Caenorhabditis elegans: one gene and its partners. The protein of the gene in region 3 interacts with the protein of the main gene of each other region in a pairwise test. Each region holds a gene or a part of one and is shown on either strand. Other genes may lie near its edges. The genes, in order: abu-14, abu-10, F30H5.3 and Y65B4A.7.

Evidence for each region.
Region 1: the proteins of F30H5.3 (region 3) and abu-14 interact in a two-hybrid assay, tested with the Caenorhabditis elegans proteins (one large-scale study listed by BioGRID).
Region 2: the proteins of F30H5.3 (region 3) and abu-10 interact in a two-hybrid assay, tested with the Caenorhabditis elegans proteins (one large-scale study listed by BioGRID).
Region 4: the proteins of F30H5.3 (region 3) and Y65B4A.7 interact in a two-hybrid assay, tested with the Caenorhabditis elegans proteins (one large-scale study listed by BioGRID).

Annotation. Positions count from the first base shown.
Region 1 is NC_003280.10:9,223,943-9,230,772, reverse strand, and holds abu-14 (Activated in Blocked Unfolded protein response), read left to right. Parts: upstream 1-3,558; 5' UTR 3,559-3,615; coding exon 3,616-3,705; intron 3,706-4,285; coding exon 4,286-5,083; intron 5,084-5,127; coding exon 5,128-5,361; 3' UTR 5,362-5,587; downstream 5,588-6,830. Other genes in the region: ZK1067.3 (uncharacterized protein), read right to left, coding at 5,684-5,734, 6,156-6,417, 6,470-6,612, 6,662-6,830.
Region 2 is NC_003284.9:3,795,000-3,801,465, reverse strand, and holds abu-10 (Activated in Blocked Unfolded protein response), read right to left. Parts: upstream 3,285-6,466; 5' UTR 3,244-3,284; coding exon 3,202-3,243; intron 3,145-3,201; coding exon 2,803-3,144; intron 2,754-2,802; coding exon 2,577-2,753; intron 2,532-2,576; coding exon 2,445-2,531; intron 2,403-2,444; coding exon 2,313-2,402; intron 2,269-2,312; coding exon 2,155-2,268; intron 2,100-2,154; coding exon 1,824-2,099; 3' UTR 1,725-1,823; downstream 1-1,724. Other genes in the region: F35A5.8 (SH3 domain-containing GRB2-like protein B1), read left to right, coding at 1-101, 775-871, 971-1,072, 1,142-1,246; F35A5.5 (uncharacterized protein), read left to right, coding at 6,097-6,165.
Region 3 is NC_003281.10:505,323-515,743, reverse strand, and holds the start of F30H5.3 (BPTI/Kunitz inhibitor domain-containing protein), read left to right. Parts: upstream 1-3,526; 5' UTR 3,527-3,826; coding exon 3,827-3,860; intron 3,861-4,776; exon of another isoform or gene 4,777-4,868; intron 4,869-4,910; coding exon 4,911-5,052; intron 5,053-5,109; coding exon 5,110-5,188; intron 5,189-5,241; coding exon 5,242-5,358; intron 5,359-5,406; coding exon 5,407-5,684; intron 5,685-5,833; coding exon 5,834-6,785; intron 6,786-6,867; coding exon 6,868-6,943; intron 6,944-7,064; coding exon 7,065-10,031; intron 10,032-10,086; coding exon 10,087-10,241; 3' UTR 10,242-10,421. Other genes in the region: T22F7.3 (BPTI/Kunitz inhibitor domain-containing protein), read left to right, coding at 1-271, 354-492, 777-1,129, 1,179-1,287, 1,820-1,869.
Region 4 is NC_003279.8:644,306-650,626, reverse strand, and holds Y65B4A.7 (LIM zinc-binding domain-containing protein), read left to right. Parts: upstream 1-3,384; 5' UTR 3,385-3,401; coding exon 3,402-3,506; intron 3,507-3,556; coding exon 3,557-3,622; intron 3,623-4,642; coding exon 4,643-4,844; intron 4,845-4,890; coding exon 4,891-4,988; 3' UTR 4,989-5,001; downstream 5,002-6,321. Other genes in the region: Y65B4A.2 (Peptidase C1A papain C-terminal domain-containing protein), read right to left, coding at 879-1,034, 1,623-1,915, 2,553-2,820, 5,060-5,176.

The DNA of each region.
Region 1 (6,830 bases), on a different chromosome or scaffold from region 3:
TAGAGAATGTGAGTACACATGGGACGATATGATATGGCATCTCGCAAAGAGCATCGACAGATTATCATTTCCGGCAGATTATTTTTTAAGGCTCGACGACGAGCTCGGTAATCATTCTTGGCAATCATCACACAAATTCCATCGGGGTGGGTGTTATCTTCTCATATCAATCCGGTGCCGATGCACTCCCCAATCAAATAAAAGGAACAATCCGGAAGTATTCGAGTTTCAAGATGTTGAAGAATAGTTGAACAATCATAAAACAAAGGTGTGGAATCCGATGTTAGCATAGTTTGGATCTCGATCGTTGAACTGTCTATAGTTTCGACGCAAATATTGTGGTGTCTTGTAGACTGTTATTGCTAGAATCAGAAACATAAACCATCAATATCTACATATTGCGAGACCCGAAATTCAGGAAAAATTATTATGATTGTAAGATCATGCCGAAAAGTTGATTATACTGCTTTGATAAAGGTTCAAACGTGGATACCTACATAGGCCTACATAGGCTGTCGTAAAAATATATTATACGGACCACAATAATTAGGTAAGCAATAAATTTTATAGGCGATGTAGGTGTAGGCGATGTAGGCGTGTGGTCACTTTTTATTCTTAAATGAGAAATACTTATGTCGTAAGTTTATTTCATCGAGTCTTGTTCTCAGTATTTCAGAACTAATAGAACTTTTGAAGGTAAGGATTATTTTCTGAAATAGTACACTTTTTTTAATTTGTATTCGGACAGCAGTTTGAAAAAAAAATAATTGTTAAAGTTCAAAATGTTGTTCATCCAAGACAAGGCATCCCCCGCAATACTCCCGTCACTGATAGGAGTCAAATATCCGTGAAAACTGTGTTCATCTCAAAACGAGGCAAATAAGGTCGGCTTCGAAAATTCCGGGTGTTTAGGGTCTCTCACTTGCAATTCCTTGCACAAATGTTTCCTGAGAAGACAATATACAGACAAACATGTGCTCATTTCACCCATTTCCTTCTCTCTCTCTCTCTTTCTCTTTTCTCCAAGAAAAGTATTATAATGTTGGGTGCACCTCCTCCCACCGTGTCAACGTATTACGCATTTTTTGCACCGATCCGGTTTTTTAAAAGCAATCATTGTTTGAATGTAGGTCGCGCATGGAAAAGTACACGTGGATTAGAACACGTTGAAACATACACCAAACATCGTTTGAGAGGAAATTACAACAGGAAAACTGGCTCCAAAACTGGCTATAGAAACAACACTTTTTGATTTTTGGTTCAAAAATTACTCCGTTCCAAATGTTCAGTAGCAATTGTAAAAAAAAAATTTAATGCTATTTTCCTGAGAAATTTCACATTCACAGAAAATCTCTATTTTCAAAACATATATTAAAAGTTGAAATTTTGATGTCTATCAAAAATTGTCAAAGAACATAAATAGGCACAATTGCAATATCAAACAATGTTCCATTCAATTAAGCTAAACCGGAAAATCTCTAGCTCAAAAAGAGAAGTCATACAGTTGGAAACTGTTTCGGTGATCAGTTTACGATGCTCTGCGCAGTAAAGACAGAAGAAACGACTCATGTTGACTTACCTTGATTCATTGAACTTATGTTCAGAGACTTACCGACAAATGACGGGATGAATCATTTGAGAATTTCTGTAAAGGTGCAACTAGAAGAGAAGTTGTACATTGTTTTTATTCGAAATTAGGCAGAAATTAACCGGCAAATACCGAGGTATATTGCAGGGAGCTATAGTACACATAATAATATCAAATTGACATGATTTATGAGTAGGGAAGTTGATATCATAATTGGTTCAAGTATATCTACTACTACTGACAACTTCGACGAGCCCTGAAACATAAACAGGAAAAATTGGTACTAGATTGTGTAACATACAATTGATGCGTACCTCTTCGAAAATATTTTACCGTAGTCTGAATTTGTACGTGATAAGCTCTCGTCAAAAACAAGAAACTACATACATTGCTGCTCACAACGAAATGCGTTCAATTGAAATTTCTATTTGCCAACCGGGAGCCTCCAGACGGTTAAAACTGTCAAATGATGTGATTCCGTATGACTCATCAATGTCTGACCCAGAAATCCGGTCCTCTCGGAGTTTCTAGTTGTTTTCCACGTGTTCCACGTCACAATTGAATTCACATGGCAACCAGCTGCATTGCATTGGTAAAGTGACCATTAAATTCAATACGAAAAGTAAGCAAATACTTCAATTGTGTGAGTTTTAGTTGACCAACTTTTCATCAGGTTCATGAAGAATGTGAATGAAAAATGTTTTTATTCACTGTGAAGTAGGGGAGATCAAGAGATAAAGAACAGGCTAGATTTGGAGATACGAAAAGCGACAAACATGTGTTTTTATGTAAGCAGTCTTCTCCGAGCATCTTTTTATAGATGTTCGAAATACTTGAAGCGAAAAATTGCGCAACTTGAACTAAACAAGATAATCAGTGCGGTTGCTGCTATTTATGGATGATGATTGCTCGCGAGAGGGGGTCAGCAGGGACGACATTCCTACAAAGGGCATAAGGAGAATGAAAAAGTATGCGGGTAGAAGAAGAGAGCAAATGAGCATTGAGAGCATACTGTATTTAGTGATAAGCAGAGATTTTTGATATCTAAGCTAAGAGTGTCCGGAACATTTGGAAACTAGAAGCATTGGTCATGGAATTTTATTTAGAAAAATTGAAAAAGGAAGTCACACACATAATAAATTATGTGCATCTAAAACGTTAAAAAATCCAAGTATTGTACCGATTTTAATATTTCCAGGTACTGAAAGATTTTGAAAAATAAACAATTTTAGCAGCGTTTTTTGAATTGTCTTTGCTTTACATTGAAAGCTTATATCTCGGTTCTCTTTGGTTTTATCAAAAAATTGTCAACAAACCAAATGCGTGTAAAATGTTTATCTATATATCAATAGTAGAACATTTTTTGATATAACTCATGACAGTCGAGATATGAGTCGTCAAATTAGAGCAGTCGTGGTAAAAACTTTTAAAATCACAAATCAAGAAAGATAATTAAATTATTTTTCGCTGTGTGACCATTTTTATTTCAGCATGCGCTTCAAAAAACTACCAAGTTGCGTTATCATATTCTTTGGTTTACTCCGAAAATTTACTGGTAGCTATATAATTTACCAAAGCTGAACAAATAATCCACTCATTTGGTGAATAGTTCTAAAGTATACAAGCTTCAAGTCATACAGGTTATTTCAAAACTACAGTACCCTTCAAGGCTTTGAGGACCTCCGGTTTCCGAGTATGAATTATGAAATGTTTTTCGTCTAGTCCTCATTGTCTCAATCACTATCTCCAGGCAAAAAGATGAGATCTCTTGAGGGTACTGGACTCTCCCTCAATCCTCCGATTCAAGGAGTTGTTTCGAACGCTTAAGCACTCCTGGCTCCGCGCGGGGCGGAGTCGAAGTGTGCCGCGACCGACCGACCGCCGGCGCCTTCCTCCCCATTACCCCCACCCATCTCCCGCCGCTATATAAAAGGTACGCAGTGCCATCTGGACAGAATACAGAGCCTTCGAGTTCTAGTCCTTCTCCTTCTTTTACCCAACTCATTATTCCCCACATTTTTGTTTCAATGGCAGCCCGCAGAGCAGCTTCGATTCTTCTTATCGCCGTTCTGGCCCTCTCCAGTACCTTCGTCTTCGCTGACGAAGAGACTGTCAAGGTAAATTTCTTTTTTAAATACTACTTTTGTACTTTTGAACATTTATTTAAGCATTCAGTCATACTTTCCCTCTTTTATGCTCACTATTATTTTCGTGTTTTCTGTGTACCTAACCATTAGGACACGGCGCGGATGTGGGTATTGAATGCACAATGTGCATGAATAGGAATAATGAATAGGCTTTAGGAACAAGCTGGTTATGATCATGATCTTATTGATCATGCCCAATTGAAGCATAGCGTCTAGTACATCAGGATCCAAATTTCAGCAATCATTTGTTTAAATAACTTTTCAATTTTAACTATGATGCTTCCTTATGACTGTCTAGACTCTTATTTCATTTATTCCCGTCATTGGCCATTCCTTGAGACCTCACTAATACAAAGTGAAGTGGTCATTTCAAGGGGTCAGCTGGCTTCTTCTCCTGCTCTTTCCCCTCCGATAAAAACAGGAAAAATGATAGTGTAAACAAAGGGCGCATGAAGATTCTCTCCGCGATTGCCCCCCAGAGTGTGCGCGCAAAAATCTAAGCACACTGTCTTTCCTTACGGTCAAACAAAAGAGCCCTAAATAACTGCAGAACGAGACCGGATTGGCGTTGTCGCGTGCCAAGAGACAGTGCTGTTCATCCAACTCCAACTCATGCTGCGGAAACAACAACAACGTGCAATGCATCCCAGTTTGTCTGCAACAGTGCCAGAGCTCATGCCAAACATCCCAATGCATCCAACAATGTCAGCCAGCTTGTAACCAACAGTGCGGAGGAAACAACCAAGTCATCCTTCTTCCACAAACCAACAACTGCAACCAATGCCAACAACAATGCATCAGCTCCTGTGCCACCCCAATCTGTGCTCAATCCTGCAACAACCAATGCTCCAGCTCTTGCGGAAACTCTGCTCCACAAATTGTCGTTCTCCAACCACAACAGAACCAATGTGGATCATGCCAGTCTTCCTGCCAACAGACTTGCCCAACATGCAACTGCCAATCTGCTTGTGCTCCAGCCTGTGGAGGAAACAACAACAATCAGCAAATCATCGTTGTTCAACAGGACAACTCATGCTCATCCAACTGTAACAACCAGTGCTCCAGCTCCTGCAGCACCCCAATCTGCATTCAGTCCTGCCAATCCTCCTGCCAACAGGCCTGCCAGCCAACCTGCCAGCCACAATGCATGCCATCCTGCTCGTCTAGCTGCACATCCAACCAGGCTCCAATCGTCATCGTCGCTCAACAAGGAGACTCATGCTCCAACTCGTGCTCCAACCAGTGCCAGTCTGCCTGCCCAACTCCAATCTGTGTCCAACAGTGCAACTCTCAATGTCAATCCCAGTGCTCGAACTCTTGCTCCGGAAACAGCTGCAACCAACAACAGGTAATAATATTGATTTTCCATTAATTCATGAATCAATATTACAGGTCATTGTCCTCCAACAACAAGACAACTGCCAGAATCAATGTCAATCTTCCTGCATGAACACTTGCCAATCATCGGCTACCGTTCTTCAATGCCAGCCAATTTGCCAACAAACCTGCCAGAATACCTGTCAACAAGCCGCTCAAATCGTTGTTCCATGCCAATCGAGCTCTTCTGGATGTGGATGCTCATCTGGATATTCTCAATGCGGTGGATCATGCTGCCGTCGTCGTTAAGCATCCCCTTCCCTGAATTCTATGAACGAATTCTTACCGTATCCGCGTTTTCTATGCGACAACTTCTGTTTTCGTTTCCCCATCCCACTTCTCACATAACTTTTATTATGACATTGTCTGTAAATAAGTGGTAGCCATGTGAGGTGTCTAATTATTTTATTATTGTTCCCTTCTTTTTCATGATGTTTCATTGTCCTTGAGTTTCGACAATAAATTATTCTAATTTAAGAATTATACAAGAAATGTTTTCATTCGGCAAAACATAAAATAAAAAATCACATATATTCACAGTAATCAATCATCATATAATAAATTGTATTGTTTAGTCCTGTTTGAATAGTCCTCGAGCTGAGCGACGAAGGGTTGAGCGACGCTGAAAAAAAAATTTAAAAAGAAGAAAAACAAATGTATCCAAATTAACAGTTTTTCTAAATTTATTATTGATTTTATTCCGAATTTTGCAAATATAAACGAAGTTACTGAAACAAATTCGAATTTTCGACAGAAGTTTCAAAATTTTCGCGTTTTTTATTCATTGGTTTCTCTTGATTTTTTCCTTGATCTTTTTTAATTGTCACCCAAAAAAAAGTCGTCGAAATTTCAAAATTAGCCTAGAAATGAGTAATGTAGCATTAGTTTCAACTCTTTTTTTTCGGAAAACTTTCTGAAAAAATGACAAAGTATCGAATCAAACACTAAAGAATTTTTCAATTAATGAATGAAAATTCCATAATTCGATAGAAAATTAAAAATTTTGAAAAAAGAGCACATGCTTGTTATAAAAATGCACATACCCTTACAGCACCAGCTTTCATCATTGAGCTTCGTCGTTTTTTCTTTTTCTCTGGAACATATTCCTGCACATCGGAATCTTCTTCGGCAATATTCATAGCTTCCAAGATCGAACCGAGAGGAGTAATCGGAATTGGACCATGGGAGTTTTTCTCTGGCGATTTCACTGCGGAGATATTCTTCCAGTTCTCGATTGACTTTTCAATAAGTGCAATATGATATTTGGAGAGACCTGGTTTTAGATCGCAAAGTGTCGATAGAACTCTGGAAAAGATGAAGAATTATTACAATCGTTAAATTTTAGAAATTAACTAACGTTTGAAAACTGATCACTTGAATGTGATTTTCCTTTTCTTTTTCTTCCATTTCTTGATTCAACGAATCGTTCATGCTATCAGTCTCATCAAAGTTTAGAACAGTTCTAGGAGTTTTCGATGGACAATTGGCAAGATTGATCTTCTGGAAAAGCCTTTTTTTAGAAAGAAAATTGGATAATAAGCAATGATACTTTTCTATCAGCCTTCTTCGTCGATAAAATTGATGTTGGCTTGAAACTGAGATCCGAAATAGGACTGTGCCTAACATCTGAAGAAGAACAAGCAGCTATTCCATCAGCTTCAGCTGACTCTCGCGCCTCCTGAATTGCGGATTCAACTTCGAAAAATCGAATTTTTCGC
Region 2 (6,466 bases), on a different chromosome or scaffold from region 3:
AACAATCAGTTGAAGTGTCTTCGTGATTTTGTCGAGGCACAAATGTCTTTCTATGCTCAGTCTCATCAACTCATGGCCGATTTGCAGCGGGAATTGAGCGGGTAAGTCTCTCTTTCAAAATTAGGCTCATTAGTTTTCATGTCGCATGCGTCTCCCGCTAGCAATTCATTTGGTAGCCACTGCTTTTTTTATTTCGTTGTAGTGAATGTACGTGTCATGCAAATATTTCAGTTCTCTCGCCGATTCACCGATGTACTACGGAAACCGACACGACGAGTGACTCCCGAACTTTGATTTTATGTTTGCCACTCGTGATTGTGATCTTGACTCCCTATTTATTTCAAATTTAATCGATTTTGATTATATATTATTTTTTCTCTCTCCTCTTTCTCTTTCTTTTTACTTAACATTACTTCCTTCTGAGTAATCCAGTGTCATTCAAATTCGCCAAGAAATTCAATATTAGCTCAAGTTTTCGATATTCTTAAATTTTCAATGTATTCTGTATGTATTATATTGTAATGTATTTCATATTTTAACAGCTCCCGGTCATTTCCACCAATCGATAAGCATAATTAGTATGTTTAATTTTTTTCTTCTTACTCTCAATTCTCCCCCCAACCGCCGTTGATCGGCTTCTTCTAGTCACAGTTGCTGTGTGAATGTCTTAGTATGTGTGACACAACGACGAAACGCGATTTGAACTCAAATAAATGTTTCTCTATTCTGCCAAACTTTTTTCATTGTCCCCAGATTTAAGGAAATTGCTTTCAGCACCATGTCATTTCGCGGAAGCTCGGCAATACTGGTGAACAATAGTGGCGACCCGCCAAACGGAAGGACTATGGCGGCGGCAATAGCGGCGGCCAAGGTTAGTTGGGGAAGAACTTCGTGGAAAGCGTTGTTTCCGTTCCAGTGATTTTCAATTATTTCCCATCACGAACATCTCTTCAAATTACTGATTTTCCAGCCAAGTGGCCTACTGCCGGATGACTTGGGAACCAAGCAAGCCAAAGTGATCATGGACTACGATGCAGTGCTGCCACAAGAGATCAGCGTCACCCAGAATGATGTGAGTCTTGAGAGGAGGACCCCTATTGAAACCAAATATTGTGTGAAATTACGTCTGCTCTTGTTGCAGATTCTCATCGTGTATCGCCTTCCTGGAATGGATGCGGAATATGTGATGGCTGAAAAAGGAGGAAAACGCGGAAAATTGCCTGTCAGCTATATTGAGCTGCTCTAGAAACGCTGCATTCATTAATTTATTGTCTTAGTACTTTGTTCATGTGCCAAAAATGTTTTAGTAAGGTGTCTTATTTATTGTGGAAGATCTCAATTGAAATGTGTCTATTTATTTGACTCCTCAAATGCGCTTATTATTGTATAGGTTATTTAGATTTAAAATAAATGGGAAATTTAAAGATCAAAAATTCGTTAACAATATTGAACACAATATAAAAAGTTTAGTTTTGAAGAAAACTCTCAAATCTCTTCTACGATTGCTGTTTTAGATAATGATAGAACCAACCCTTTGTGAAAATCTTCTGGTTTTCAAACTTCAAATAGAGTTTCCTAAAAGAAAATTGCATTTTTCTCAAATCTTTTTCAGTGATTTTGTTGTAATTTAGACGAAAATTGGTAATTTGAACATCATAGAAATGATTCTTAATCATTTTTTCATTTATATCTTCATTGCATATACTCATTGTGTAAAAGGAAATAATATAAAACTACTTTATGTAATGGCAATAATATTACCGAAATGTACAAATAGTTTGCGTGAAGTCGAAAAAGAAAGACATGGTCAGAAATGAGTTCGTTTAGGCGATCGATCGCTTTGCCTTGCGGTTGGTGTATCTGTATCTAAGACAGCAGGTCTGCTCGGCGCACTTGACGTATCCGCGTTGGCATACGCATTGGTTAGCATCGCAGGAAGTAGTAGCTGACGAATGTTGGGATTGTTGGTTGGTGTACGAAGCGGTGCACGATGACTGGCAAGCTGGCTGGCAAGCTGGGACGCACTGATTGATTGGTTGCGCTTGTTGAACTTGGACTTGGAAGGTTGGCTGAGCTTGTTGGGCGCAATCACAGGATGGCTGGAAGTTTAGATATCCATAGTTAATTTACTGGTCAAAAAGCAATAGTCTTTACCTGAGCCTGTTGGCAAGCGCATGGGTTTTGCTGAACAACTGGGGCACAATCACAAGCTGGCTGAGCTTGTTGGCAGCACGGGTTCTGTTGAACTGGGGCACAGTCGCAAGTTGACTGTAATTCACAAACTTAATGGAAAACTCTGGAGTGTGATTTACCTGAGCCTGTTGTTGGCAGCATGGGTTCTGCTGGACTGGAGCACAATCACAGGCTGGTTGCTGTTGGACTGGGGCACAGTCGCAGGCTGGCTGAAATTACCGGACTAAAAAAAATTGTTCAAAATGCCATACCTGAGCTTGTTGGCAGCATGGGTTCTGTTGAACTGGAGCGCAATCGCAAGATGGTTGCTGTTGGACTGGAGCGCAATCACAGGCTGGCTGAAACTTCAAAAGTTCATCCAACATTTACCAAATATATTGTACCTGAGCTTGTTGGCAACATGGGTTCTGCTGAACTGGAGCACAATCGCAAGCTGGCTGTTGAGCTTGTTGCTGACGGATCTCGATTTGGATGCAGGTCACACATGATGGGTTTTGTTGGCAGTCACAAGCTGGTTGTTGAGCAACTGGAGCACAATCACAGGCTGGTTGTTGTTGTGGCTGCAAAGATGGGTTACTTTTATTCGTCGCTCTTACATTAACAGCCTACCTGGCAGTCACAGGCTGGTTGCTGTTGAACTGGAGCGCAATCGCAGGATGGTTGCTGTTGCTGGCAGGCGCATGGATCTTGTTGAACTGGAGCACAGTTACAAGCCGGCTGCTGCTGTTGTGGCTGGCAAGCACATGGATCTTGCTGAACTGGAGCACAGTTGCACGCAGGCTGCTGCTGCTGTGGCTGGCAAGCACATGGGTCTTGAGCTGGAGCTTGTTGGACCTGAGTGTACTGAACCTGGACATTGATGGTGGATTGTTGGCAGCACGATGGTTGCTGCTGAACTGGGGCGCATGAGCAAGCCTGACGCTTTTCTCTAAGAGTTGGTGCCGAAAGTGCCTGAAAATGGCGGGGAATTTATAAATAAAATGGAATGAAAAAAAAAAGAAATCTCACCAGGGCGACAATAGCAAAAATTGAAAATGCAGAGCGGAACATTGCTGCTTTTGTTAGAGAGTATTCGAAGCCAAGCTACTACTGACAACTCAACTTTTGCTCCTCATATTTATACGCGCCCGCCGGGAGGAGTCATGGCAAGAGGGTAAGACCGGCATGCGCAAGAACAGGCGACAAAAAAGAACGAAGGCAGTTTCAATTGTGCATCAAACACAGATGAGTAGTTATGATCGGATTAGAGCACCTGTGGGAATATGGTAAGGAGGGGGAAAAAAGTTTAGTCAGAGAAAATGAAAACCGTGTGCTGAAAAAATGCGTGCACACAAATAAACATTGTTTGTTTTTGGCTTCTTGCGCACATGAAATTTTGCCGAAGACGCATACTATCCAAAGTGATGTTAGCTATAATATATTTCAGTCTAGTCTTCTAACCAGTTTAAAAACACTTCAATTGTGTCAAGAGAGATATTGGCTCACCAATTCAAAACTCGAGTCTACTAATTTTAGGCCCTACTTTACAAAAAAGTGTGACAGTTGAATCTACTGTACTTTTCCAATTTGTCAGACATTTTTTTCCTCTTTCGAGACAATAAATAACGGCCCAACGTCGCAAATGTGAATGTTTAAAAATTTTGTTTCATTCAATGTCCAGTGTTTTCCAATAGTTCACAGAATGTTCAAGTTGTAGAAGGTTCTCTTTATTCTCATTTGAAATTGTAATTTAATTTGAAAAAAATCGAGGTTAGGTTGCATTGTTAAGCTTAAATTTTTTCAAAGCATGACTAGTAAACGAACGACTATTTTGCACCGATTTGTAAAAAAAAAATTGATTATTATATCTTTTTAGTTGGAGTACCAGCAAGCTATTTTGAAGATCTTTCTTTTGTATCAAGTAATATTGTTCTGAAAGTATTTCTGAAAGGTAGTAGTTTAATATCCCATTTTCAGTAGAGCTTTTTTTCCCAATTTTTGTCTAGACCGTCTTGTAATATATCCGTTATAGTTTTCAACAATACGTGAATGTAGTGACACAGAACTTTCAATCTCCGAACACTTGCATTGAAAAGTTCAAGTGATGCGTTATTTGCAAATAGTCCGTAAATAGAGACCGCGTCATAGAAGAATACAAGCTGAGAAACTGGTTAACGCTTTCAGCTGTTGCATTTGCACAATCTCTCGTTGATTCTTCTCCCTCCCAACAAACAAATACAAAGAACCCCAATTATCACATTCTTCATTACTCAGACCGCTTGCCTTTACTTTAGATACCGGTTGAGGGGTTGAGTTGAGTTCGATTGCCGGCTGGATAAAAGGTTGCAATGTTTGTGTCTGAGGATGAAGGAAAGCAGCACAAAAAGTTGCGCCGGAATCGGATTAAAAGCTCAGGGGTGGTCATGTTACAGGAGAGTTGAGCAACGTACGAGAACCGGTACGTGAGCACTCTGTGCCGGCTCTGTTTTATCAGTGTGCCCGCAAAAACGCATGTACTTGAAATATATGTTCGTTTGATGTGATGAGGAACGTTTTCGAATTATGCGTGTTTTCAGACCATTGGGATGAGCTCAAAAGTTTGCTGGGAGGGGGGGGGGGGGAGGGTGATCTAGTTTTACATTAAATACTCATTCACTAAAAGTATGTTTCCATTAAATTTTATTTTCTGAAAATGGTCAACAATGTTTTTTTCAGTGTTTTTTTTCACGTAAGAAACATGGAGTTCTGACTTTTTCATAATTAACATCAAGGTATTAGTATTTATTGTGAATGGTTTCTCTATAAAACAAAACCTTCTGTTATTTTTAAATATGGATCTACGGTGTAGCTGCAAGCCTTTTCACAAGATGAAAAGATTTTGTAAGAAACTTTTTGAAATTTTTCAAAATGTTTTCAAAAATAAAAAAAAAATGACTGAAGTTTGCTGTAGTCTTCATTTTTGTCCACTAGTGCGTGTAACTTTATTACAAAAGTATAACAAAATCTTCTATTATTTCCAGAAACTGTTTTTTTTTTGCCTGATTGTCAGTGGAGTACACGGTTTCTATTTATTAAAAAAAAAATTAACTTGTGACCATTTTTGCATAAATAAATTGGCAAAATATAATATATCTAGTCATATATTTCCAACTTTTAAACTGTCATAACAATTTTTTAATCATGAAATCATATCAGTATGTGCCAATTGTAGTGTTTCCAAAAAGTGTCTCCCAGCGTTCCATCAGGATTTGGTTCAAAGTTCACAAGCACCATTTTGCTATATGATCTTTATCCGAGCTCTTTTTCTCCGCCAGAGTTGCCAAAATATAGTCTGCGACATTTTTTCCACCTTCTCCCAATTCAACTCAAAAGTATACAGTTGCACGCGATACAATTCTGGATTCCCGTATTGTGCTCCGCTTCGTTTATTTGAACTACCACCAGGCCGAGCAAAAAATTAAATAAGTAACAATGAGTCAAGAATTTTTTGTGGGGGGGGGGGGTTGATAATCAAAGATGAGCAGCAAATGAGTGTAGTCCAATCTTCAAGTGTGTGTAATCAAATAGAACCTTTGATTTTTTGCTCTTTGTGCACATTCGCATACACAAATCTTGCAACAAATATTGCTGCAAATATTGAACATCCCGCTGAAAACAAGCTCATATAATTGAATTAAAGAAAATTCTTTTTAATTTAAAAAAAGAAAAGAAGCAAAAACATATTCATTTAATTCGAATTTAGTTTGTATTGAATTTCTTACAGAAACTTTCTCCTTACACTTCAGAATTCACGAAACGAACTATTATGACTAAGCATTCTGGATATAGTCCGGTCCATCTTGTCACGGAACCCAAACGCAAACATTGAAACTGACCCGAATATAAAACGGTCTGCGCTAGTTACAATTAATATACTTTCCACACATGTTTCGTCTGAACACTGGAGCTTATATAGTATTGTATTCAATTTTCAGCCAATGCTTAAGTACAGAGGTAAGACTTTTTCAGTTATTAGATAGTAGATGTTTGTTTGATCGTTGAACATCAACGAGTTTCTCACATCTAATCAAGAGCCTTTACAATTGTTGATTCTCAAGCCGATATATCTTGTCATGACTGTAGTCGCCAAGACTAGTTGCACGCTTGTTTTTTTTAGAGTGGATGCGTGAAGGTTTTGACTTTTTCTTATCGTGTACTAGGTGTTTGCACAAAGGGATCAAAATTTGAACATTGTACTTCACGTTAAAGTTTGTATTTGACATGGGTTGAAAACTTTGATGATTGAAAACTTTGA
Region 3 (10,421 bases):
CAACCCCGGAAAATCCCTCTGCCCACCTGACACAGCCTTGATCAATGGAGAATGCAAAGTTCGTGGAGCCGTCGGATCAGTGTGTCTCCTCTCCTCACAGTGCACGTCCGGTGCAGAATGTGTCGGGCAGATGTGTGCCTGTGGGAAAAAGTTCCGCGAGCAAGACGGGCGGTGCATTCAGGTAGACACGGATGAGGTTGTGAAGGAGGTTGTTGTCGCCAAGGAAGTCATCAGGCCCGTTTTGGCGGGCTGCAAAGAAAATCAGGTTGAGGTGAGTTTTTTTTTCTTGGCGACTAAGCCTAAACCTAAGCCGGAGCATGGTACAGGCCAGTCCAGAAATCAAAAATTTGCAGAAAAACAGCGCCTGCCTCGACAAATCGGCAATTGGAGCGGCATGCACAGCAGACGAGCAATGCCCGAATGGCACTGTTTGCACTTTGATGATGTGCAAGTGTGCACATGGAAGCTCACCTTACAAGGATAGGTGTTTGAGTAAGTTTTCAAGGAATTTTCGCAGTTTGGAATAGTGGAACTACGGCTTCCATGTGGGCGCCGGTGAGACGCCTCAAACAGCCTCACGCCGCCACTAGCGCCGCAACTTATCCGCGTGTATAGTTCGGCGCAGAACCTTGAACTTGTCGGCCGCTTCCACATAGCCACGCACTACGTTGCACGACTACGGTGTGTAGCCGAAAACTCTCCCGGCGTGAGGCGCCGCTCTCTCAATTTTTACACTTAAAAAACTGGCCATTTCCAAAATATCCCAATTCTTCCAGACAATATAAACATCTGCGAAGCACCAAGACAGCCCGTGATATCTTCCGACTACACCCTAATCCAGTGTGCCAAGCAGAAATGTCCGAAGCCTTCAGCATGTGTCTACTCAAAAATGATACAATCCTATGTGTGCTGCTCCAGTGCCCCAGTGACGTTGAGCAAGCCTATCGCACCACCCGTAGTTGGAAGAATCGTAAAAGGTGGTAGAATCGTCGGAGCACCTGCTACTACTGGAGCTGTTATAGTGAAGCCCCATCTGGCAAAGTACACCTGTCCAGACGGTCGAGTGCCGATGCTCTTCCCACAGAATAATATGCCTTTGGTCTGTAATCCAGTTAAAGGATGCCCACAGGTAACTTAAGCAATGAGATTCGGGAACTTAAAAGCGTTGTTTATTTCAGGGTCACACTTGCATTAACAAAATGTGCTGCCCAAACGGGAGGGTAAAACGCTCGGAGTCCTGCCCCAGAGGCTATCTAATGGTGGAAAGAGGTGGCGAAGCACAGTGTGGTATGATTTTCTTATAGCTTACAAGTATTTGGACACTTTTTCTTGAGTTGCGCCTTTGACATAGGTCCCGCAAGAAAATTTTTTTTGAAATTTGTCCAAAATTTTCAGAATGTTTTTTCTAGTCGTAGAATTCTTTTAAATTATGAGAAATTTGCAAACAATCAAGATTGCACGTGGTGTCAGAGCGTTCCATTTCGGTTTTCTCTACGTATCATAGATCTACAAAAAATGCGGGAGTTGAGACGCAGAGTTCTCAACTGATTTTGCGTGGTTATGAACGTGCTGACGTCACATTTTTTGGGCGAAAATTTCCCGCATTTTTTTTTAGATCAAACCGTAATGGGACAGCCTGGAAACACGTGAGCTTGCAGCATTGGAGAAAGTTCGGAATTACTGCAAAAGTTCAGAAATAACAAAAATTAGCATTTTTAGTCAAATCTTGACTTAAAAAATAATTTTTTCACAACGGGGTTTCTGAAGATTAACAATCGACAACGATTTTTCTCCAAATCCCCAACTTTTCTTATTTCAGAACCACAATGCCCATGGTATGCTCCGTGCGCTGCTCAACGAAGGCGATAGATTCTGTTACTCTTTCCCCAGTTGTCTTTTTTAATTCTCCCGAGGTATACACCTTGTCTCGTTACGGTTATTTTTCTTTTTCTTCTTTCCCCCGTCTCTTTGTTGCTCCGGAGATGTTCTATAACAAAAATTCTAAATAAAGAAACTCTCAATTTAATCCACTGCAATTCCAATTCAACTCCCCCCGCCTTCCTAAAAACAGTCGTTAGCCACCCAAAACAAACAGTCGGAACAAAAAAAGCGGCGCACCGGTGCTGCGCGTGTTTTTCATCAGGTCATGATTTGCTCGCGGAGAGAGGTGAGACCGGCGAAAAAGTTCACTCTTTTTGGAGTTCCGCGCCGCGCGTGATCTTATCATTGTGAGCGCGCGCGAGAGCCCCGATTAGAAGAGAAGCGGTGTTGGTTTGTACAATATTTGAACCAGCGCCGCCGCCACCAACATTAAACATACAGTAAAACATACATATGTTTGGTGCGAAGATCAGTTTCTCTTGACGTACACTTTATAATGAGATAGGATGGATGCCCGCGCGGATCAGAGGAAACTGGGCCAAGTATGCTACACAAAAATACACTAAACCTCGGGTGTTAAGGATGTCAGAAAGTGTTTCTGTGCAGTAGCGGGCTGAAATCACAGGATCATCCTGCTGGATACTCAAGAAGACGGTTACTTTCAAAATTTTTGCGAATTGCAAAAAACCATTTTCGAAGCGGTGATTTTTCACGAAAATCAGTTTCGCAAATCCTAAGGTATTCGTGGAAATTTTTTGTAGAAATTAAAAAAAAAGAAACTTATGATGTCAGCTCATAATTCAAGTTCGGAATCAGCTCATAATTCAAGTTTCACGAAAACCAAAAAGCTCAGTGATCTTTTTCGAGAATCTTACCCCTTAAAATTTTTACCGATTTTTCTGAATTTCAAACGTACTTAGTCTTGCGCTGTTCCACTCCACTTTGACTTTTCATACCTTTGGTAATCTTCACGCTACGTGGCAACAGTATGAAAAACAGAGACTTCTCATGAAGACGAAGAAATTGTGAAATGAATGAAAATTTAAACTAGTGTTCAATATGGCCCATGGTACTAATGAGTAAGGCTACACGTCATATCCAAAAAAATATCGTGAACTGATAAGTTATCAAACTATAGAAGACGATATAACGAATATCTTGGCAGTTGACAATTCTTGAGAAATCCAATGACAACATAGATGTAGGTTGTCAACATTGGAAATATCTAGCATTTTTTATAGAGCTAGTACAAGTTTAGTTGAACACAGATTTTTCATATATTATGCATACATATCGCACATGTTTCTGGGGACTTTTACTAATTTATCTTATCAGATGTGTTTTTTAACCCGCTATTCAAAGAAAATTAGAGAATGCGAGTATGACTACTGAGAGTGTGAAAACCGAAGCTCAATGATATCATACAAAATTCCGAAATGCCGATCATAAGCCCCTATCATGCTCCGTATACAATGTACCAGGCTCAATTACGATGTTGCTCTCTCTCCCCTCCCCACCGCTCTCAACATGTAAATCGCATTACACGAGTGACCCGAACTGTATTCTCGAACGAGAATCTTGCGAAACCGCGGGTAAACAACACCAAGAGAAACCCCTCCTCTCTTGGCTCTGCGAGCACACAAATATAGTGACCCCTCCCTCGCTCCCTCCCCTGACCTTGACCAGCAGACTCAGCTCAACACAAAAGCCATTCGATTGCAACTCGTCTTGGATTCGAACCACCCCGCACCATCATCATCAGAAGGCAATCAAAGAATTATCTGATTATTTTCGTATGATTTTCAATCAATAACAAAAGAGCCATTTCATATATCCAGGTCTCTATCACATTTCCAAATTGCCCTTCTTTATTGTATTCAATTACTCATTTTGAACACTCATTATATAATAATCACAAACATCAATCAATTGATATTCCGCAGCAATGCGTAACTGGTTTATTTTACTCCTGCTTGCAGGTAAGCTTTTTCTTTTTTGCCGGATTTTTTTATGGTTGCTTTGAAAACTTTTGAATCAAATTCTTTAACATAAGCAATACTTTAATTCAAATTTTTAGAGTTTGAATTCTGCTACTTGACACTTGGACTTTTTCTTGCTAGCAATATGAACTTGAAAGTTTTCTTCAAATTTTGATTCAATTTACGAGGGTTAGCACAATACTTAAACTCAGAAATATCAGCATAAAGTTCTTGAAACTATTTTAACATATATATTTTTATAAAAATATAATTTTTGCAAACTTAGTTGTCGGAGAAGAACTTATAAAACTAAGAATGTGTTCCTACAAGTCTAGCCTAAAGAGCTCTAACCCTAAAAATGAGTAGTTTCACCACTGTAGGTTTTTGACCCTTATTTATTATACAAAAAGTATGCTGTGAGTCGGTAGTTTTTATGGAATTTTTTTGAAAATTTGACTTTTACCTCAAAACCCCACTCAAAAACAGCAAGCCATCTCTTTTTTACTCTTGAAAACTTAAAACGTCAAAATTTCTATCACTACCTAAAAATCAAAGCACGATTCTATTCTCAGAATTGTTCAAAATAAATCTAGTCTTTAAATATTCGTTCTAGCCCAAGATTTTGCATTAAACTGGCCTATGCCTTTACGAAATCAGCACTAACATGAATTTTAAAGCTTCCTGGGGGTCTTAGGTGCTTCACAACTGCCAGACCCAGACCATCAAAACACCCATCAGGTCACAAGTCCAATTAAATTCTATTTTTAGAGCACCAGACTAGAGAGTTCAACTTGCATAATACCTTTTTCGTGTTTCTAGTGCTCTCTCTCTCTATCGCCGCGCCGCGTTCCAAAACAAATCCAAGCACATACAATAAAATTGGCAAACATTGTGTGGGGGGTTCTCAGTGTCTGAGATTCGATTCGCCGCAAATATGGCGGCGGCGGCGTGACTGTTGCCCGATTTGGGTTAAAGCGGCCGCGAGCGCAGACGATCGTGCCTTGAGGATTGGGAGCAGGTGGTGACGAATAGTAAAACTTTTTGTTTCAGGAGGCACATATGCAGTCGAGCAGAAGCCGATTTGCAGGATAGGCGATGGTTGTGACACGTCCGGATGTCGGATACCGACTGAAGGTGATAAGTGTGATGAGGAGATGACTATTGATTCCATCTATTGCGATCTTGCCACAAAGTAAGACCACTTTTGAATAAGGAAGCTGTTACTAAACACGACTTTTTCTAATTTCAGCAAGACCGACACTCACGAGAACGCGTTCCTTATCTGCAATCTTGTCAAGAAGGAAATCGAACGAAAGATTTGTCCGAAAGTATAAAATCTATTCCAGTTGTTGAATAATCTTAACAAATTCTCAATTTTTAGAGCCAATTCTTCATTGACGGAAAGTGCCGAACTGGCAATGTTCGGTACAAGCGGCAAGGAGTTGCCGGATCCGGAAGAGTTGGAGATTTTTGCAGCTTCAACACCGATTGCTTGACTGTAAGTGGATTTTGAACTTCTTCGAGATTCTAAAATTCAAATTTCCAGGGAATGTTCTGCTCCACAGGATCTTGCACATGCCTCTCGAACTTCGTCGCCATCCAAGGATACTGCTACCTGAAGAAGAATCCAGGAGAGTCTGGATGTCAGTACGCCGAGCAGTGCTCCGCAGTATGGCCAGAGTCGCGGTGCGAAAAGTCGAGATGCGAGTGCCCGGAGGATGTGAATGGAATTCCATATGTTCAGGCCAAGACCAGGGACGGAGTCGTTTGTGTTCTTCATTCCGGAGAAGACGGAGATCCGGTGCCAAAGTGCCCACTTCCAGAGTGAGTTTTTATTCAGTGGGAGCTATTTTGTGACTTCAAGCTTCAGCCTAAACCTAAGCCTGAACCAAAGCCAAGCCTCATAGTCAGTCTGATACTGAGTCACAACCTAACTAGCTACCTTCTTATCGTTAATTTCCAACTTCTTCTAGATACGACGATGATCTCCTCACAATGCCAGTGTCCCAACTTCGCAACCCTCACATGACCGATCCAGACGATGCTGACATTCAAATGGGCGAGCACATCAACCCACTTCAATTCTGCTCCTCTCAATCCACCGACTATACCACCTTCATCGCCAACGGAGGAGGTGCGTGTGCTTACGCGACCGATGCTAACAACGCTCAGGAAGGAGATGGTATCTATATCGCTGATATCTATGATTGTGTCACCTCCACGACATCAATGGCCAACGTTAAGACTGCAATGGAAGGAGTTTATGACATTCATCCAGCCTCCGATGGTATCTGCTGTCCTAACAGAGCCTTCACCTGCATCCAACCAAAGAGAGAAGCTGATAGTGGAAGTTCGGCGCCAGCAGGAGTCCGTCCAAGATGGTGGTACAACGCTGTCACTGGCACCTGCGAACAATTCATGTGGGACCCATGGGATGAGACCGAGATGCAATCACCAAACAACTTCAAGACTCGTGAGCACTGTGAATCCTATTGTAGAGACACTTGTAAGCGTGGATCCCCACAATACCTCACCGGATCCGCTCAGAATGAGGATGAAGTCGTCAGCAACTGCCAGACGGCCTCTTCCTGCACATCTAACTTCGAGTGCACTTCCATTGGATCCATGCAGCTCTGCTGCCCAACTGTCGCCAGCGTCTGCTCCAACACCGGAGGCCGTCCAGTCGACTTGGTCCGATCCACCAACTTTGACGCCGGTATGTTGATGAAGCGCAGCTTCTCCATGACCTTCTCCACGAGCTCGCGATACTATTACGACGCGGAGCAGGGAAGATGCATCGCGTTCACCTACAACGGAGCACTCGGAAACTACAACAATTTCAAGTCGTCAGCTGATTGCGAGTTGTTCTGCGCCAAATTGCAATGCAAATACGGAACTCCACTCAAGATTGGGTCATCTAATCAGGTATGTGCAGTGTAAATAACACCGGGGGTACCGGAGGTTTCGCGAGTTCGAATTCGTATTTCGAGAAAAATGAAATTTTCAGAGATGCTCCGCCAGTGCCGACTGTCCAAGTACCCACGAGTGCCAGTCAGATCACAATGTCTGCTGTCCAAGACCTCGTAAGTTTTAGAGTTTTAAATTTTTTACTCAGTTTACTCAGTCCTAGGCTAAGATTGCAATACGACCTAGACCTATCATCAGTTCCTCAGCCCACTAAAAACCTCAAAACATTAATTCCAGAAGCCATCTGCTCCCAACCCCTCCGCCTCGGAGACTGCAAGCAATCCGTCCGCCGTTACTGGTACAACGCAGTTACCCGTGCCTGTGAGATCTTCGACTACACCGGCTGCCAAGGAAACGATAACAACTTCGAGACCCTGTTGGAGTGCCAGAACACTTGCGAGAACATTATTCCAGAGCCACAGTGCCCACAAGGAGACGCCTACAAGGATTACCAAGGAAACTACTACGTCTGCTCCAACTCTGGAGCTGGAAACTCTTGCCCAGTCAACTATGAATGCTATTTCGACGGATACGTGTGGGGATGCTGCCCGACCAAGGCCTACACCTGTACCCTTTCCCCACATAAGGGAGTCACCTGCGGATCTGGATCTTCTTACAGATACTATTACAACTCTCAGACCCAAGAATGTGAATCCTACCAGTACAATGGATGTGACGGAAACTCCAACAACTTTGCTACGCGCGAGGATTGTGAAGGATACTGTGGAGTCGGAGGATGTCCAAATGGTGGAACTCCAGAACGCAACGAGTTCGGTCAGCTTATGGTCTGCTCGACCACCCAGGTGTGCCCAGGAACCCACGAGTGTACGTCTGTAAACTCTGGAAGCTCAGTTGTCAACCGTTGTTGCCCAACTCGTGCCTACATCTGCTCTCTTCCACCACAACAAGGATCCTCCTGCAGCTCATCCGCCGCTGCTCGATTCTACTTCAATATTGTCACCAAGGAGTGCACCCAGTTCACCTACAACGGATGCTCCGGAAATCTCAACAATTTCGCCACCCTCGAGCAATGTAACAACTTCTGCCTTTCAGCTGCCTGTACCCCTGGAGATGTAGCCTACGTGAACCCCAACACAAATATGCCATATGAGTGCAATGCAGCTCTATCCAACAGTTGCCCAACCAACTTCGCTTGTACCTACGATCAGCTGTCCTCCAACTCTGTTTGCTGTGGAGCCACCAACATGGATGTCTGCCCAGAAGGCGAGAAGGCTTACGTCAACGCTGCCGATATGGGAGTCCGCGAGTGTCTGATCAATGTGGAGGGATCCTGCCCGAGCAACTATCTCTGCAGATTCAACGCCATGAAGAACAGATACTACTGCTGTGCCTCGATCACAGGAGATCTCTGCCCATCTGGAAAGGCTCTTTACAAGGAACCAAGCTCCAAGGCCCCGATTCGTTGTACCATCAGCAGCAACAACAACCAATGCCCAACCGGGTACACCTGTCAGTCCGATGTTCCAGGCGCTTTCCAAGGATACTGCTGCTCTGGAAACCATCTCTGTCCAAACAAGGCCGAGTTCTACTTGGAAGAATCCTCCCAGATGCCAAGATCCTGCACAGTTGGAGCATTCATCACTTGTCCAAATGGTTACTCCTGTCAATCCACCCAAAACGAGTTCACCACCGGATTCTGTTGTAAGGGAGAGGTCGCTTCTGTCTCTGATGGTTGCCCACCTAATGAGTATGTGTTCATGAAGGACAACCAGATTGCCCCATGTGATCCATTTAACCCACCGAATGCTCCATGTCCAAATGGATACTCCTGCCAATGGTCGTTGGCTAACCAGAGATACCAATGCTGTGGAGCCACACCAATCACCACACCAAAGTCGATCGCTGCTCTCGGATGCCCGAACAACCAGGTCGCATTCCGCGAGAAGGCATCAAATGCTCCAAGAATCTGCACAGCCGCCTCTCAGAACTGCCCAACAGGGTTCTTCTGCCAATTCTCCACCGCTAACAATCAATTCCAATGCTGTGGAATGTCGGGAGGATGTCCAAATGATTCAGTTGCCTTCATCGGAATCACCGGAGAACCACAATCTTGCGCAATTGGTCAGAGCACTTGCCCATCCGGATATTCTTGCCAGAGAGCCATCTCAGGAGCACAACTCTGTTGTACCACAAACGACGAGCCAGTCGGACCAACAACTCCTACCAAGGGCTGCACCGAAAAACAAGTTGAGGTTGAGGGAGCCTGTCTCGATAAGAAATCTCTCGGAGACATCTGCAGTAACCAAGTTCAGTGCCCAACTGGAAGTCTCTGCAAGGAATCTGTGTGCTCTTGTCCAGAAGGACATCACGAACTCAACGGAGTTTGTCTCCCAGACTGTGGACCAAACGAAGTCGAGGTCGCCGGAAAGTGTGTTGCTAAATCCCTTATCGGAGAGGCTTGCGAAGCTGATGAACAGTGCCAAGGTGGATCTTCATGCCTTGACGCTACCTGCACCTGCCCAGAAGGCGAAGAGGCTGTCGAGGATGTTTGCATGAAGAAGATGTCGCGACCAATGTCGACTTGCCCAATTCCAGGACAGATTCCATTCCTCGAGTTGAGAACTAAAGCCGCCAGATTCTGTACTCCATCCCGTCCAAATTGTCCACGTGGATTCAGCTGTCAATTCTCTCAAACCGCTCAACAGAACATCTGCTGTGGAGGTGGGAAGGCGTCAGCAATCGTCGCCGAGAAGAAATCCGGAAAGCCAAGCACTTTCAGTTCTAAGCCAAATGGAAAGGAGGACGGTGACGATGAAGCCGCTGACGTTTGTGATCGTGGAAGCGCATACGTTGTGAATGGGACACCAAAACAATGTACAGCATCTCCATGCCCAAGTGGATACAAGTGCACATTCTCGAAGAAGAGCAAGAACTACTACTGCTGCTCATCGAAGGCTTCTCCGGGATCCTCGTCTGGATCCGGAGCAGCCAACGGCTGTGCCACTGGAAGTGCCCTGCTCTTCCCATCAACCGGTACGCCAGTTCAGTGCTCCAACAGTGGATCAAACAGTTGTCCAGCCGGATACAAATGCCAGAAGAGCACGTTGTCGAACCGATTCCAGTGTTGCTCAAGTGTCAGTGGAGGTGGAGATGGAGAAGAAGAGGAGACGGCTCCAGTTAGAGGACGTCCGGTTGTTGGAGGTCGTGGATCTGTGAACAAGAACAAGGAATCGGCGGCTAATGGTGAGTTTTGTGTTTCTGGTACCCCCAAAACCTCCCAATAATCCCAATTTTTCAGGCCCATGCTCAAACGGTCAGGTGCAAGTTCTCCGAATCGTCGGAGAGAGAATAATGAAGAAGTGTGAGGACAAGTGTCCACCACACCAGGTCGCTGTCCGCGGCGTCTGTCGTGACAAGTACCTCGCCGATGCGCCACTCAACAACGAAATCTAATATCGGTGATTATTTATTAATTTTTTGAATTTTTTCCAATTTTTTCCAATCAATTTTCTTTGAAAATGACCTTTTTTTTCTCTTTGTTTTTCATGTATTGCCATTAGTTTCCAAAGTATGATTGGTGACTGTTCCCCTGAGTAGGTGCGTTTGCACCATAAAAAATCCCCATTTTTTTCG
Region 4 (6,321 bases), on a different chromosome or scaffold from region 3:
TAATTATCGGAAAAATCGATAACTATCGGAAAAGTCGATTATTATCGGAAAAATCGATAATTATCGGAAAAAATCGATAATTACCGGAAAAATCGATAATTATCGGGAAAATCGATAATTATCGGAAAAAATCGATAATTATCCGAAAAATCGATAATTATCGGAAAAATTGATAATTATCGGAAAAAATTGATAATTATTGGAAAAATTCATGATTTCCGGAAAAAAATCGATAATTACCCGAAAAGTCGATAATTATCGAAAAAAATCGATAATTATCGGAAAAATCGATAACTATCGGAAAAGTCGATTATTATCGGAAAAATCGATAATTATCGGAAAAAATCGATAATTACCGGAAAAATCGATAATTATCGGGAAAATCGATAATTACCCGAAAAGTCGATAATTATCGAAAAAAAATCGATAATTATCGGAAAAATCGATAACTATCGGAAAAGTCGATTATTATCGGAAAAATCGATAATTATCGGAAAAAATCGATAATTACCGGAAAAATCGATAATTATCGGGAAAATCGATAATTATCGGAAAAAATCGATAATTATCCGAAAAATCGATAATTATCGGAAAAAATCGATAATTACCGGAAAATCGATAATTATCGGAAAAAATCGATAATTATCCGAAAAATCGATAATTATCGGAAAAATCAATAATTTCCGAATAAATCGATCATTAACGGAAAAAATCGATAATTTTCGAAAAAATTGTCAATTTCCGAAAAAATCGATATTTTCCGAGAAAAAAATTGATAATTATTTACCGGAAAAAATCGATAATTTCCAAAAAGTTTGCCATTTTTGAATAGATCCCAGAAATTTTTCTCTATTTTTCTAAAAAAAAATATCTCTAACCAAAATGTTTATCCTCCTCATATTTCTGCTGGTAATAGATATTCTGACACCTCTTCATACATGTTCGCTTCTCCTCGGCCTCAAAGAACGTGGCCGGCGAGCACGGGACTCCACACGACAGGTCAAACGAGTAGGGACGGCAACCGTCACGGCCACCTGGAAATAGAGATGGCCTAGGTTTTCGAAAAACTCTTCCACGGGCTTAGAAGAATCGTTATTGTTTGGAAAAATCGATAATTTGCAAAAAATCGATAATTTGCAAAAAATCGATAAATTGCAAAAAAAAAATCGATAAATTGCAAAAGTTGATAATTTCTAGAAAATTCGTTCAAATTTTTGGGGAAAGCTTATTTTCAAAAAAGTCGATAATTTGCAGGGAAAATCGATAAATTTCAAAAAATCGATAAATTGCAAAAATCGATACTTTTGAGAAAAAAGTCGATAATTTTTTTTAGAAAAATCGAAAATTTTCTAGAAAAATCGTTAATTTTCTAGAAAAATCAATAATTTTCTAGAAAAATCGATAATTTTCTAGAAAAATCGATAGTTTGCGGGAAAAATCGATAGCTTGCAAAAATCGATAAATTGCAAAAATCTTCTAGAAAATTCGTTCAAAATTTGGAACAAGTTAATTTTCAGAAAAATCGATAATTTTTTTTAGAAATTATTACAAATTGCGTGATATAAAATTCAATCACATTGTAGATCAAAGGTTCCTAGGCCACCTATGACGTCACCGCTTACCTGTAACAAGTCCCTGATTAACCCAATAGGTCAAGGCCTTCAGTGGATCTCCGCCGTAACAATTTCCGCACACCGAGCAGCATCCAATAATATCCTCCTCGGACAAAAGTGACTTAAAAGTTCCATTCGAGTGAATACAGGCACGGTCGGAGGCGACACCGGCGGCGGCGACCGCGAAGCAACTCCCGCATCCTCCCTGATTTGGAACATTCGAGATTGACGGGCAATTCGGCCATTTCTGACGAGCGTCGAAGTTTTTCGGAACATCGGAGCTGTTAAAGTTCTCAAGTTCACTGCAAAATTGCAATTTTTGGGATGATGCACCATGTTTTGTCGAAATAATTCAGAACCCAATGCACCAGATCTTACGCGCAAAATTTCAAATTTTTAGGTTTTGAACGCAGCCCGGCAAAGGGTACATAAGTGTAAATGCGCTCTACCGAACCGTGTGGAAGTCATCATTCACGCGCCTCTGGCTTCACTCATATTTTGAAATGGAAGATTTTGCCGAACTAGGCCACTTGAGCTCGGCCACGGCCGGGGTAGATTTACGGCGCGTTGCGGCCGGGGTAGATTTACGGCGCGTAGCTCGGCTTTAAGGCCGGAAGCCCGTGGAGTTTACGAAGCATCAGATATTAAGCGCAAAATTCTTTCCTGGTGTTTTACGAACATTTTGCTGTCTTTTTAAAATTGTACCCAAAACTTTTTAAAACTTCTGGAAAAATCCAATTATTCAGAAGTTTTGTTTAAAAAATCGATAATTTTTAAAAGGAAAATATAGATTTTTCTCGAAATTTGGTAATTTCTGCATTTGCGTGTAAAATATGATGCATTGCAGGACTATCGTATGCATCACAGCTTACGCGCTAAACTACATGCGGCGAGAGCGCGGAGCATCGTTGTTTCCCGCTCAAATTTGAGTTAACTCACTCCAAATGCCGCTTCATCGCATCAGACTCGAAAAATTTTCGAATTTGTTCCACGTATTCCTCGACCGCCGTCTGATTTCTCGTATATTTGAATCCGTAAGATCGATTTTTGACACCAAACTTATTGAATTTGGCTTTCCACGTGGTCTCCGGCGAGTCATTGACTTGACGAACGAGTTTTCGCAAATATTCATCATTATCCCGTTTATCATTTGCATCTGTCACATATCGACGGTAGAGGTAGAAGCTACCGTATACCAGACCGAGAACTGAAAATTCAAAAAATTTGGGTCTCGCCGCGAAAAAACGTGGCGAAGTTTGCACATGGTGCATCGACAGCAAAAATCGATAATCTCTTGAGAAAATCGATAAATCATGACAAAAATCAATAAACGTTGATTTTTCAAATAATAAATTTGGATAAAAATCGATAAGTCTTTTAAAAAATCGATAAGATCGAGGGAAAATCGATAAATTTCAACTACCGATTTTTTTAAATTGCGCGTTTGATTATACACGGATTTATGGCTTCCCTCATATGGAAGAGTTTGCCGAACTAGGCCATTTTGGCTCGGCCATATCTGGGGTAAATTTACGGCGCGTTGCGTGTCGCGTCGCGGCTCGATTTTAGTTGTAAAACTAAATGTATTTATCCGTGTGGAGTGCACGACTTTCCCACGTGTTGTCCGGAAGGCGATTGTCAATGGAGCGCGAAAAGTTCAATGAGGAAGACCAGAACCCCGTGATTATAAAATCAATAAAATTTTGAAAAATCAATACGTTTTCCCACGTTTCTCTTCAATTTTCTCCTTTTTAAATTTTTAAATTAATCATTTCAAAAATTCGAAAAATGTTGTTCTCGTCGAACAATAAACGTCTCCAAAAGATTGTTCTTCCATATAATATCCATTGCAAAGGCTGCACAACAACGCTGACTCGTCAAGAAGCTCAAACTGTGAGCACATTTTTGGAAATATATTCAATTGAAAATATCGATTTTTGCAGGGAAAAGTGATCAAAATTCAAGACGAGATGTATCATATTTCATGCCTGAAATGCTCGGTTTGTCAGGTAAAACATTGCAATAATCGATAATTTTAGCGAAAATCGAAAAATTCGATAAATTCTTAGTGAAAATCGATATTTTCTGATTCGCTAAAATTCGATAAATTTTTAATCAATTCATTCGATAAATTCTTACAAAAAGCGATAATTTATTTTTGCGAAATTTAATAATTTTTTTTCAAAATTAATTTTATAACATGTGACACACGTTTCTGGCTTCCCTCATATTTTGAAATGTAAGAATTTGCCGAATTAAGCCATTTTGACTCGGCCACGGCCGGAGTAGATTTACGGCGCGTTGCGTGTCGCGTCGCGGCTCGGTTTTCATTTTAAGTTGTCCGTGTGGAGTACACACACACACACTCCCCTGCTTTAAGGCGATTGTCAATGGAGCGCGAAAAATGCAATAAGGAAGGCCAGAAGCCTATGTAATTTGTTTTTGCAAAAAGCATTCCTCATTGAATTTTTCGCGCTCCATTGACAATCGCCCGCCGGACAACGCGCGGGAAAGTCGTGCACTCCACACGGACACGGGGTTCTGGCCTTCCTAATTAAATTTTTGCGCTCCACTGACAATTGCCTGCCGGACAGCGCGTGGAAAAGTGTTGTGTACGCCACACGGACAAATACAGCAGTTTTACAATTGAAAACGAGCCGCGACGCGACACGCAACGCGCCGTAAATCTACACAAAATCTCTCCGACCCAAAATGGCCTAGTTCGGCAAACTCTGCCATTTCGATTTATGAGGGAAGCCAGAATTCCATGCACGGACAAATACATTTAGTTTTACTACAAAAACCGAGCCGCGACGCGACACGCAACGCACCGTAAATCTACCCCAGATATGGCCGAGCCAAAATGGCCTAGTTTGGCAAACTCTTCCATTTCAATTTATGAGGAAGACAGAAATCCGTGAAAATCAATAATGTTTTTTTTTTTTTGCGAAATAAATATGTCGATTATTGATTTTTCCTTATTTCATTAAATTCCGTCAAAAAATCAATAAATTTCTCCAAAATTCCAGACAGTCATTGGCATGACTCCGTGTTATCCAATGCCCGCGCCGTACGGTAACGCGCTCCGTTGCGCGGACTGTCACCGGGCGGCCAAGTCACCAAAATGCCACGCGTGCAAATTGCCGACTTTTGAGAGATGCGTGTCGGCGTTCAATGTCCACTGGCATATGGCATGTTTCAAGTGTAAAGCGTGTCGCCACCCGATTAAAGGTCAGTGTATGCAAATGTGCTCCACCGAACGAAACCTATTTTTCAGGTCAAGAGTACGTGGTTCACCAGGGATGTGCCTACGATGAGGATTGCTATCACCATACCATTCAGAAAATCGATATGGAAAATGATCCGGCGAAATAAATTTTGCAATTTTCAATATTTCGATTATCGATTTTTTTCTTGGTCTCGGAGTGTCGTAGTTTTTTACTTACCTGCCAACAAGAGTAATATCACGCTAGCAATTGTGGCGGCGACCTGCGCCAGCCGTTTCCGCCGACTTCTCGTCTCAAATGTGGTCCGTGTCTGCTCTTTGTCGGTTGGGTACATTTCTGCAAAAAAGGTGCCATTAAGTGGGCGGAGTTTAACAGTCTAACTTTGCCGAGTGTCGTAGTTACAGTTTAGGTGCCGAACCAGAAAAATTGAAAATTAAACAAGAGACTACACGGGCTAAGATTATCAATAGGGCGCTTTGCAATTTGATCTACAAAAAATGCGGGAATTTTTGCCCCCAGAAAAACGTGACGCCAGCACACTCTTAACCATGCAAAATCAGTTGAAAAGTCTGCACCTCTTCTCCCGCATTTCTCGGAGATCAAACCAAAATGGGACACTTTGACACCACGTGCACGCAGACTACACGGGCGAGGATTATCAATAGGGCGCGTTTGCAAACTTATATTCAAAATTATTGTGGTGATTATGCTTTTGCACATACGGCGTAAAATGAGGAAATCCTCTGAGCAGAAGGACAATATCAATGGCAAAACAAACAAAATTTGACACATTTTTGCTTCTCCCCCCTGTCCCCGCCCGGAACAAAATACGCCTTAGCAGCAGCACAAATGTGCACACGAAAACATGAGCACAAACACCGGAACACTGCGCGGCTGACCAATTGACCAGAGACAAAAAGCTCAACGTTCAAAATTTTTGAGTGAAATTTCGATATTTAACAAGAGGACACCCCATTACGGTATGATCTACAAAATATGCGGGAATTTTTTGCCCAAAAACATGTGACGGCAGCACGTGCGTAACCAAGCGAAATCAGTTGAGAACTCTGCGTCTCTTCTCCCGCATTTTTTGTAGATCAACGTATTCAAGCCAAAATGAGACACTCTGATACCACGTGAGAGGAGAAGGGCATGGGAAACCTAGATGGAAGAGAAGTGACGTCACATGGTGGCCTAGGAAATCAAAGTGCGGTAGGTGGAAGAGAAGTGACGTCATTTGACCTAGTGGTCGAGCATGGAAGAGGGATGGCGTCACCTGGCCTAGGAAATTTGACGGCCAAGCCTAGATTAGAGGGCCTAGAAATGCTCATTCCAAGGCTTGGAAGAGGTGTGACGTCACTGATGACCTAAGAATTTTAGTGGCCAATTCGGGTATGAAATGGCGTCATTAACATCGATGGCCTAGAATATTTCTCGGCCAAACTTACCAGTGGTCTTGGAATTTTTGGGACTAGGAATGG